Linked DNA regions of Caenorhabditis elegans. The protein of the gene in region 2 interacts with the protein of the main gene of each other region in a pairwise test. Each region holds a gene or a part of one and is shown on either strand. Other genes may lie near its edges. The genes, in order: zipt-7.2 and sek-1.

Evidence for each region.
Region 1: the proteins of sek-1 (region 2) and zipt-7.2 interact in a two-hybrid assay, tested with the Caenorhabditis elegans proteins (one large-scale study listed by BioGRID).

What each region holds. Positions count from the first base shown.
Region 1 is NC_003284.9:15,505,261-15,509,626, forward strand, and holds zipt-7.2 (Zinc transporter zipt-7.2), read right to left. Parts: upstream 2,621-4,366; 5' UTR 2,605-2,620; coding exon 2,412-2,604; intron 2,307-2,411; coding exon 2,192-2,306; intron 2,142-2,191; coding exon 2,064-2,141; intron 2,018-2,063; coding exon 1,647-2,017; intron 1,575-1,646; coding exon 943-1,574; 3' UTR 777-942; downstream 1-776. Other genes in the region: H13N06.7 (uncharacterized protein), read left to right, coding at 1-113. UniProt on the Caenorhabditis elegans protein: Zinc transporter.
Region 2 is NC_003284.9:7,814,767-7,821,759, reverse strand, and holds sek-1 (Dual specificity mitogen-activated protein kinase kinase sek-1), read right to left. Parts: upstream 5,027-6,993; 5' UTR 4,957-5,026; coding exon 4,944-4,956; intron 4,885-4,943; coding exon 4,794-4,884; intron 4,687-4,793; coding exon 4,554-4,686; intron 3,435-4,553; coding exon 3,051-3,434; intron 2,900-3,050; coding exon 2,649-2,899; intron 2,587-2,648; coding exon 2,475-2,586; intron 1,724-2,474; coding exon 1,697-1,723; 3' UTR 724-1,696; downstream 1-723. UniProt on the Caenorhabditis elegans protein: Dual specificity protein kinase which acts as an essential component of the p38 signal transduction pathway which is also composed of upstream effector nsy-1 and downstream effector pmk-1. May phosphorylate pmk-1.

The DNA.
Region 1 (4,366 bases), 7.7 Mb from region 2:
AAAATGGACACTACTTTTTATCCGCCGAGGCTCTTCGCTCTTCAAAATATGTAAGAACTACTGCAGCTGCACCAACGCAACCATCAACTCTACCAGTAGAGAAATCAAAATAAAATTGTAATGTGAATATTGCATACTGTTACATATTTGTGCAATGATAATTTATTGATAATTTATGAAATTTAATTTGGAGCCGACAAAGCTAACGACAAAAAATGCACATAATAGAAACAAGATAAGTCACAGTCAGATAAAAATAAAATTTCAGAGGAATATCTTTGTGGCTTTAAGGAAATTCTAGAATTCTAGTTATAAAAAAGACATTTATGGGGTTATTTATGTTATTACGAAAATTGCAAAAATGTATTTTTACATTTTTTTTTCCCCTAGCCATGTGTGTAGTAAAATGTAAAAAAAACGCATGCAGTTTCTGCATTTTTCGGCATTTTTCGACATTGCGGGGGCACATCTCACTGCGTTTCTCGCCTTCAGCATGTGAAGTGGGCTGTCGGCTGATGTAGAAAAATGTACAAAAATGCCGAAAAATGTTGAAAAATGCAAAACATGCATGCGTATTTTTACATTCTTCTACACACATGAATAGGGGAAAAGTGAACAAAATATATTTATGCATTTTCCGTCATCACATGAGCAACCCCATTACCAATTATCTTGCATAATTTCATGTGGGCACAATTTATGTAACATCATTGCAACCATACTTTTTGTAACCTCTATAGCCAGATTTTATTTTGAGCATGACACTACACACATTTCTGTGCATCCAACACCTTTATTGAAACAACCAGCCAAAAAAATCGAGAGAACATCAAGAAGGAGAGGGTGATTTAATAAATACTTAAATATATAAAATACATTTTACAAAAGGTAACATTTAACAAGTATCGCGTTTGTGATGATGAGACTAGCTTCGACAAAAATTTACTCATAAATAGCAATGAGATACATAAGGAAGATTCCGGTAAGAATAGCGAAGATTTCCTTAACTGTCTGGAAGAATGAGCTGTTCTCGAGAAGCTCAGGAATCACGGAAACCGTAGCAATGTAGATGAATCCTCCGGCTGTGAATGGAAGAACCCAGGAGCTAGCCGCAGCGTCGGCGAGAGCATCGGCGTCAGCAGAGAACAAGGAGATGACACATCCGGAAAGTGCTCCGAGAGCAGTTACAAGTTGGATGAGCATGGCCTTCTTCTTAGAGTATCCAGATTGAATCAGAATGGCGAAATCTCCAATCTCGTGAGGAACCTCATGGACAAGAACTGTGATCATAGTAACGATTCCGACGGTGGTTCCCGCAATGAAGGACGCTCCGATGGCAAGTCCGTCAGTGAAGTTGTGGGTGAAATCAGCAGCGAGGTTGAGGTAGGCGGTAACCTTGATTGATTGCTCGTCTTTTTCTGGTTTCTCCTCCTTCTTGGCAACTTTGTCCTTCGAATCCTTTTCCTTGGTTTCCTTCTTCTCCCCTCCATGGGAATGTCCATGTGAGTGACCATGGCCGTCTTCTCCTCTCAAAATGCGCACGAGTTTCTCAACGGTCAAGAAGGCGATGATTCCTGAAATTAATTACTTAAACCATTTTTTAATGTGTATATATATATATATATTTTTTTTTTGTCAAAACAAACCTCCAAGAACCCATCCCCCGACGCTCATGTCATGAGCTCCATGAGAATGCCCACCACCACCATGAGAATGTCCATGAGAATGCGAGTGCCCGTGACCGTCTCCAGCCGGAGTGGCGTGTGGAATCAAATGAAGGAACGCATCTCCGAGAAGACCTCCGGAACCAAAAGCGAGGAGAACCTTCAGAAGTGGTCCCGACTCCGAGGTGTTAGCCTGGATTGGGATGAACATAAGGATGAAGCATGGAGCAGCAGAGATGAGAAGTGTAGCCGAGATGGCATAAACCCAAAGCCTTGTCTTGGCATCATTAAGGAAAGAAAGGAATCCAGTGTACTGGTACTCATCGCCAACTTGCTTAGCACTTTCAGCTCCACTGAAAATGACAGATTAATCTCGGAAGTAGAAGTGAGAGTGCTTACTGGCTGTGTCCGTGATCCTCATGGGAGTGTCCGTGATGATCGTGAGCATGTCCGTGATGATGATCTTCCTCCTCGTCACTAAAAATTGATAAGTTGCAGTAATTAACTTTTTATTGAGAAATTCTTACTGGGAGTGTCCATGATGATCATGTGCATGTCCGTGATCATGAGCGTGTCCATGGTCATGATCGTGAGCATGTCCGTGGTCGTGAGCAGCAGCGGTAGCAGCTTCAGCGGCGGCGGCTGAAAAATGAGACTTATGGCTCCGAAGTAACAATCTGTTAACCGTTCAGAACGTTTATCATCCTCAACATTTTCGAAGTGTTTTCAAAATCCAAAATCACAAACCTTTAGCATACGGGCACCCTCCGTCGGCATCATGAGCATGTCCATGTCCTCCGTGAGCGTGTCCGTGCCCCTGATGATGCACATTCTGTTGAACATACTCCGGATCGTTCATCTCCTTGGTGTATTTCAAATGTGCCTGGCCATAAGCGGCAATAGCCAGGAATGACAGGAAAATGCACGATTTCACCAACATTTTCGCCGAAATTACCCTGAAAATTTCAAAAATAAGATGGAGAAAATTAATCGATAAATAGACAGGTAGACAGGAGAGGAGAGGTAGGCAATAAAGTGACGTGGGGTATAATGAATATTTATTCTGTTTTATGGTTATATTTTCAAGTAATAAAGACATTTTTTGCAAAGATGGCTGAAAAATCGAAGAAATCTGTCCGAGTACATGGATCAATCGGATAAAAATGACAAAAATGGCATATCCCACAAAATTGCGGCCAACGCGGCACAGGAGAGAGGGAGGTTTGTCTTTGTGCAATAGAGCGCGCTTGCTACCGTCCCCTCCACTGACAGAGCAAATTCAAATAGCGATACACAGTGAGATAGGAAAATGGGGTGCGGTGTTCTCGCATTGACAGATGGTCCCGGTGTATTTGCCGATAGGTTTATTATGAGCATGATGGTGCTCTTCAAACATTCACGCACGCAAGGCTCGTAAAAAACTTTCTCCAGGAGAATGTTGTTTCTTTATAAGATGTTTTTCTATCTGTAAAAGGAGTACTGTAGTTTAGTTTTTTTTCAAGTTTCAACCTTTAAGCCAAACTTTCAGGTAAACAGTCCATGAAAAAAAAACTAGAAAAAAAGGTGAAAGGGATGAGAAAAACACAAAATTGCCCTTGCCTACCCATCCATTCCGCTCACGTTTTTTTTTCAACGGAATCGAGGCTATCCACACATAGGAACTAGTTTCTTTCACTTCATCCGCTTGTTACATCTTGAATACCGCGACTGACTGTCCACCCTACTTCAACATTTTACTGAACTTTTTTTTTTGTTAGTTGTCTGCTGCTCATTTAGCAGTCACTACTGTGATTCATTCAGAATTGAAAGTCACTGCTTAGTCATCGTTTGTGCGGGAATTAGAGGAAAATGTAGTTTTTTTGGCTCTCTAAACAAATTTTGTTTGATAATTTTGTACATTTTATTCAAACCAAAAATAAAACTTCAACTTCTACATAGTTGTTTCTTTTGTGGTAATGTTTTGAAATACAATAAATGGTTCAATTTTTGCTTATCCCTAAAAATCAAAAAATGGTATCGTTAATTGGCTCTCAAAAACCTGAAAGACTCATTAACATGCTTTTCAATGAAAAATTTGATATAGATTCCTCATGGTGGCGCCTTGGATTTTCATAAAATAGTTTTTATATCAAAGAAATCGTAGGGTCAAAGTTTGATAAGTTCTAAATTCTGATTATGTTTTAGAAGTTTATAGGGTAATTTAAGTAATGTTGCAAAATGTATTTAAATACATTTATGACGTCACAACTGTATTAAAACACATATTTTTTCAAATTTATTTTAATACAGTTGTAACGGAATTTTTTCACACTTTTCAATTTTCCGTCAAGAAGAAAGTTCAACAAAATTATAATAAAAAAGGTTTTTTTTTGGCAGGAAAATAATTTAAGGAATGCATGTATTATATTTTTATTATTGTATTTTTTCAAGAAATAAAAACTTGTATAAAGGTTTACATGTTCCAAATTACGTAGTTATTCTTTATAGTTAGCTACATATATTTGTTGCCGTTAATTTTTAACTGCATAGTTTCACACCAAACTATAGTAACTTTCTCTTTTTTTTTAAATTCTTTTCCAGGCCCTCTGTCAGACAGGGATTAGTAGCAAAACAGTTCAACTCAAGCTAGCCTCAAATCCCCCGGTGTCTAATTGCCACTTGTGTCCGGGATTGAGAACACTGTCCCAAATCCCACATAATCT
Region 2 (6,993 bases):
GGCTGCTCATACTCAACCACCGGGAATCTTGTGGCTCGACATCTGTGACCACACTCGTAATTTTATATTTGATAGCTCTGGCAAACCCGGCGTCAACAATCCAGAAAGTTAGTAGCATTTCACTTCTAATGAAAAAATTTTTCTAACAAAGTTTCACGAAAACACTCCAAGGTTTATGTTCAACAAAAATGTATGCTTGATGATTGGGAAAGCTTTGGCAACTTTGCTGTCGGTTGTGTCGGTTGCAATTCTGAAACAAGCATCAGTTGTTTTTAAGAATTTTGCAACTTTAGCAAACTCCGGTGAAAACGATAGAAATAATAGTAAAATAGAAGTCCGTACATGATGTGCCTTAATGAAACAAAACATTTATATTTCTTGGTCTTTTTTGTTTATATTATTTTCCAGATATTTTCAATTTATCAATTATGGCAATTCAAACAAGGAAAATGATATTCACTCGTTCTCTATTTATATATTGGAAAATTTAAAAAACGTTTTTATAAATATCTTGAAAAGCAACCAAAACCAACTATCCCAATCAAGTCGTAGTGTGATTTACTATTGAAAAATTTGAACTAAACTTGCTTTTTCACATTCTTATATTTTTCCTTCCTCTGGTTGCCACATTATTTTATCACTGGCGTCAGTTTTTACATAGCTCTGAAACAGGAAGACATTGCAACATCAATTCACGATATTTAACCGTTATCTGAATTAAAAAAAAATCTTTACTCGAGCAATATAAACCAAAAGAGACTCATATCCTTGATATGGGGTGAGGGAGAAAAGTGGGGGATGGTTGGTGTAATTGAAAACAAAACGTTTAGAAATTTGTAATGTCTGAGTTAGGGGAGAAAACGAACAGAAAAGAAAATGAAACGTGTACGCTGATTTTCTGGGCAAGAACTGTTATAAGGAGAATAAGCGCATAAGACCAGAGAAGAAGAAAAATAGAAAGAAGGATAAGTGATGTTGATTGTTTTCGTTTTTGTAACAGCACATCAATTTATAAATATCATTATTAACCCACAGATGAAACAAATGCGGGAGGAGGGGTGCAATAGAATACATTTTTGATTTCTAGAGTAGAATAATCCATGTTGAATACGAATTTGACATCGAAAATGGCACTGTATATGCAGAGGAAGAAGTTAAACAATTGAAATGAGAAGTCTGATGAGATGAGATAGGAATGACTACTAAAATCATTTAAGAAAACAACTAGGTCATTTCGAGTTTGATTGGAAAATTATGAGCTACCATTTGAAAATAAAAATCACAGATGCTAATAAACTACTTGAACATTTAAACGTAAAAAAAATGTAGAAAAACACCGATGATTGATTATAACTACGAGGAGAAGACACGAAAAAAGAAGCGATAGAGAAAGATTTCCTATAAAATTGAAAATGAAATAAGGATAAGCGGTTGACTCGGAAAGAAACGGTTACCAGAAGCAAAGAAATAATTGGAATCTGAGAGATATATGATATAAACAAAACATAAGAACATAAAATTCAATATTTGACAAAAAGGGAAAAGAAGTGATAATTTATTCCGTCCACGTTGCTGATTATTCAACAAATATCGATGTTCCATTGACGGCCAGCGAGGCGTACAAAAAAACGCTATTCTCAATTTGAGACGTGTCGTACTAGAAAAAGACTTGTTCGCCATTCGGCACACCCGATGCTCATCGTCGCCAAACAGTGTCGAGAATCTGCAATGAATGAATTCAGAAGTTTTTGCAATTTTTCGCAAATCTAGCATAGTTTTTACCTAACTAGGGAACCGTCAGAAGGTGCCCATCGGACCTTAGTAAGATTCAAGATTGTCAGATATAAAACGATTTTCAGATTAAAATACAAAAAATTATAAAAAATAACATTCAGTGGTGCTTTTACTGTAAGTTGGTCCTGCTGGAAACAAACTGTACATGCTAAGTTTTGGTGATGTTTTGAAGTTGATCTATACTTTTCTTTGCTGATGTACCGAACTGATTTTTTGACAACATTTTTTACTCTTCGAAATTTCTCAGAAATAACCTGACTTTTTGATTGTTTTTTTATTGCACTTATTTTGCATTTTTGTTATTTCTTAAAGCAATTTAAGCACACTTCACAAAATTGACATCATTCACCAATTTTCAATTTATTTTAAAGTGTTTAGTTTCTACAATAAAGTGTTTTGTAACAAAATACCGATTTTCACTAAAAGCTATCGTCCAAAAATTTTAACGCTAAACTTGAATTTTTAGACATAGAAAATAAAACTCTTTTGTATTTTAAGGCTTAGGAGGACAATTATACTTAGACAACAATTTTTAAGCCTAAAAATTAAAAATCAATTTCACGTTTCATTTAAATGGAGAAATTAATAAACATTTAATTTAATTTTACCCATTTATTTACAGATTGTTTTTCTCAATTTTTCAGCAAAAAAATTGTCTTTTTGATAGCAGCAAATCTTACCTCATTGATAAACCGAGCCATACTAAATTGCTTCTCATTTCTTGCCTGCTCCATAAACGGCATCGCCAATAATTCCGGATATTTGGGACGTTCATTGTAATCCTTTTCAAGACTGCAATTTGCAAATTTTCATACTCTTCCCAACTCCACACCCAGAAACTCCAAAAAACTCACCATCTCTTGACAAAGTACTGACAATCAACACTAAAACCACTTTCCATCGGCAATTTTGGTGGCGGCTCTTTCACAACCTGTTTCAATTGTTCAAATGGGGTTTTCCAATTTGCGTAGGGATGGGTGCCAACGGCGATTTCAATTATTGTTATACCCAAACTCCATACATCAGCTCTCACATCATAGGCTGACTTAGTCTCTCCATCAATTCTCTCTGGTGGCATGTAAGGTTTGCATCCGGCTTGTACAGTCTGTAAATCGAAACACTATATATATTTTGAAATTTTTCTTCCCGGTCATGATGAAATTGAAAGATAACTCTGATTGGCATGACATCATTCGGCAAATAAAATTGCATTTCATTTTTTTAATAGAGGTCTCATTTTTATCGATTTTCCGTACCTTGGCCATGCTGTTTGTCAAGTGACCTGAAATTCCAAAATCGCAAATCTTGACTTGTCCATGTCGATTTAACAGAATGTTCGACGGTTTCACGTCTCGATGAATCAAATTCAGTTGCTCTTTCATAAAGTTGAGTCCTTCAATGACCGACAGAGCCATTTTCCCAATAAACGGCTCTGGAATGTGTTTGCCAATTTTGTATGCGTGCCGGTAAAATTTGTCCAGCGACGTGTCCATCACTTCCATGCAAATCCAGACATCACCTTCGCGAAACATTGCTCCATAGAACCGTACCATTTGCGGACAGCAATCACTTCTCCTGCACGCGTCTAGCTCGTTGAGCATCTGCTTTTGAGATTGATCGTTGATTGATGATTTGATTCGCTGTAAGAAAATGAAATTTGCTTAGGATCAATTTAAAAGATAAATTCGATTTAGTTTGAAAATTCATTTTTTATTTTTTTCAATACGCGATTTGCTTAAGTCTCGGTTCAAACCAGTAATATTTAATTTATAATTTTTTTTTAGTATTTAAATCTGTAGTTTCGATTAATTTTTATATTGAGAATTTAAATATTCGTGATTTGAAAACATTTTTTGGTCAGATCAGTTTTCCATTTACATGTTGTATTTACTTTAATCTTGAACTTTGCCACAACTACATATGAAGTATTTGCAATATGTTCTAGTGAAAGTTCAACATATGAAATCTATGAAGTGACCTTTTTTATGGAAAATTTCCGCGTCACAGACTGTTCTTATTGTTGGTATGTCCTATTAACATACATATTGATGTACAATCACCTAGTCACTTATTCTAGTGTATGGATGAAAATGAATTTTTGAAATCAGTAAGTATTGATAAATCTCAATACATTCCATAAATGTTTGATATCAAGCTACTTTGAATCTATTTCTCATGTTCCTTTTCAAAAAAAAAAAGATTTTTTTCATCATATCAGAAACGAGTGACCTGCGTTTGAAATCCTATCCTCAAATTCTCATTTCTTCACTTCCATAATTTACCTTTGTTCACGAAAATTTTAATTTATACACCAACTTTTCAAAGGTGACGTGTGGGCGCGTGTGCCGACAGCCAAAAGGCAATCAGTGTGTCGTCTCACACGGCGCCCTTCAAAAAATGGAAATGCTTTCCGTTGGCAATGAAGACTAACTATTATTTTTGCAGTCACACCTAAATTCAATAATCTTCATCTTGCTAACTTGCATTTGCTTTTGAATAACTATTGTATGTGAAAAATGACACGTTGCATTCAAATTAGAATAGTTTTTCCCTAATTAAAGAAAAGTATTTTATGAATATCTTAAATTTATACAAATTGCCTATTTATTAGTGCACCAGCCAAATAGGAATTTGAATTTAGTTACTTTTTGAAAAGTTACGAAAAAATGAAACATTTTTTTGAAAAAACCGCTTTTGGTGAATTACCAAACATATGTACATAGTTAATTTTTTCAAACTGTTCTTGTTGTGATACTCACTTTTACCGCCATAATTATCCCGCTCTGCCTGTGCTGCATTTTCTCCACAATCCCATATCCACCTTTTCCAAGTTCTTCGAGTACGACGAGGTCGGTGGCGGCAATCTCAATCTCTTCGGACTCGTTTGTCAATCTGCATCAATCAAAAATTTCTCATACTTATATTATTATTACATAATTCGCCGCGCCGTCTTTACGTGTTCAATATCAAACCCGACACGGGTATCACCTAATACTTACTTGATAAGACATCTGTCTTCCAGATTCATTGTGGGCGTCTCGACCGGTGTTGGCATCACGATCTTCATGCCCGGCAGCTTGCGCTCACGTCCTACAACAAGTCGAAATTAGATGCTTTGGCAAATTTGAGGTAAATGAGATTTTTCTTACCTTTTCGCTCCATGATGTAAGACTCTAGAGAGACGTTCCGCACCGATCTACATAAATTGTAGAATTCGCCGACCAGCGATCGTCTGCAAAAATTAAATGAGGATAAGGAAAGAGCAAGAGACACGGATTTCAGCAAAAAATACGGTGGGTAAATTTTTCACAAAGCGAAAAATGAGGAAAAATGACAATAAAGAATACAAATGGTGGTTTCGCGGTTTTGTGAACAAAATTTAGAGGTGTCATTCAATCTTTTTTCGAATCTAAATGTAAAATAGATAGTGTTGGTCTTTCGTTACTTATCCATCAATCTGGTCCTTTAATTAAAGATTTGGGAATCACGTTTTTTCCTTCTTTTTTTCTCCTGGCGGAGGGTTCTCAGATTTGATGAATGAGAGTACGAAATTCTGTAGAAAAACGCGGAATAGATCGTTGAAAAATAGAAGAAATAAGAAAAATAGGAATAGGAAAAAAGTGAGGAAAAGATAGAAGAATGAGAAGAGAGCAGAAGCAATTTGGTGAGTAGGAAGCAGAAAAATAGAAAAAGGGAAAAAAGAGGGGCCCCCATTTTCATCCCAGTGAGAAAAAATTAATGTGAAAACAAAGCGAAAAACCGTTGCCCGGGATGTGTTGTCGTAAAAATTCAAATTGAAATCAAGGTGCCAGACCAAAACGAGAACCGAAATCCGTTTTTGTTGGTGTTGTCACTGGGAACCAATAGTAACCTTGGAGCGGGTGCATGAATTTTTATGGGATGTGATGTGAACAAGTGCAACATGGAAGCTGGGGAGGAGGAGCAAGATGGAGCTGCCATGAATAGCTGAGTCATTTATAAAGCAGGGAGAAAACGAAGTGTGAATCATTTAATTGGAGATACTGAATTTGGAAATATCACAAAGAAAAACTCATGGTTCCGCGGGATCTTCTTACTAGTTGCATGACTAACGCAGAAATAAATAATTTCCGTGGGTGGGCGGCAAGTAACTCATATAACATGGGGTTTTTTTTTTCAATTTTCGGAATATTAAATTTTTTAAACTTCAATTTACTATTTTTAGTATACTTTTGCAGTTTTTATCGTTTTATCCTTCATTTCCCCCAAAAAGGGCCCATAAAAACTCGAAAAAAACTGAGCGCTTGATTTATTGTTATTGAGAACTAGAGCAGTGAGTGAGTTAACGGAAGGGAAATACGACGAAAAAAGTATTGGGAGTCAGAACTTATAGTTTTTGTCAAATGTTTTAAGAGAAAAGTGGAAATGAAATTAAGCAGAACATAGATTTAAAAATAGTGAAAAAGTGCAAACGTTTTTTTCGGAAAAAGTGTCGAGAAACCGTTTTTGTGACCAAACACATTTTTGTCATGAAAAGTTGCGAAATTCGCAAGACCACACATTTCAGGAAATCCCGTATGTGTAATGGTCAGATTTTACAAAAATTGCCTGATAGTATAATATTGCGAAACTTTTTTTGTTGAATCATTTAGACGGTGTGGGTTCGCAAATATTTTTGTAAGTATTTCGGGACGCATGTACATTTTTAGTTATTCTTTTAAGTTATAGTGTTCAGTTACAAAAACCTTATAGAACTATACAATTTACTCAATTTTTTGGAAGAAAACCAATTAATTGATAAGATTGCTAAGCCACGAATATGCTTCAGACCCGTTTGCTCTCAACAAGATAATTCGTTGAAATCACCTTTCAAAATGTTGTTGTCTGTTCACAAAAAAATGTTGATCATCGGGGGGGGGGGGGGGGGGGGGGCACTGTGCACGTAAACAAGTGATAAGAAACGACGACAAAAGTTACGCAGGACACCACTATTCCTCCATCTCTCTATCACTTTGCCTCTCTGCATCTCTCTCTCTCTATCTTTCAATGCCGTTTTCTGTTAAATGTTACTTTCTACACTCGCCACTCTCTCTTTCTCTCTTTCTCTCTCTATCTATTTCATCTCATACACACAGACACAATCTTCCATTTGTGGAAAGGTATTGTATATTGTGTCTGCAGTACTTGTATTCTACTAACCTCACCCTAAAAATTGTTCAT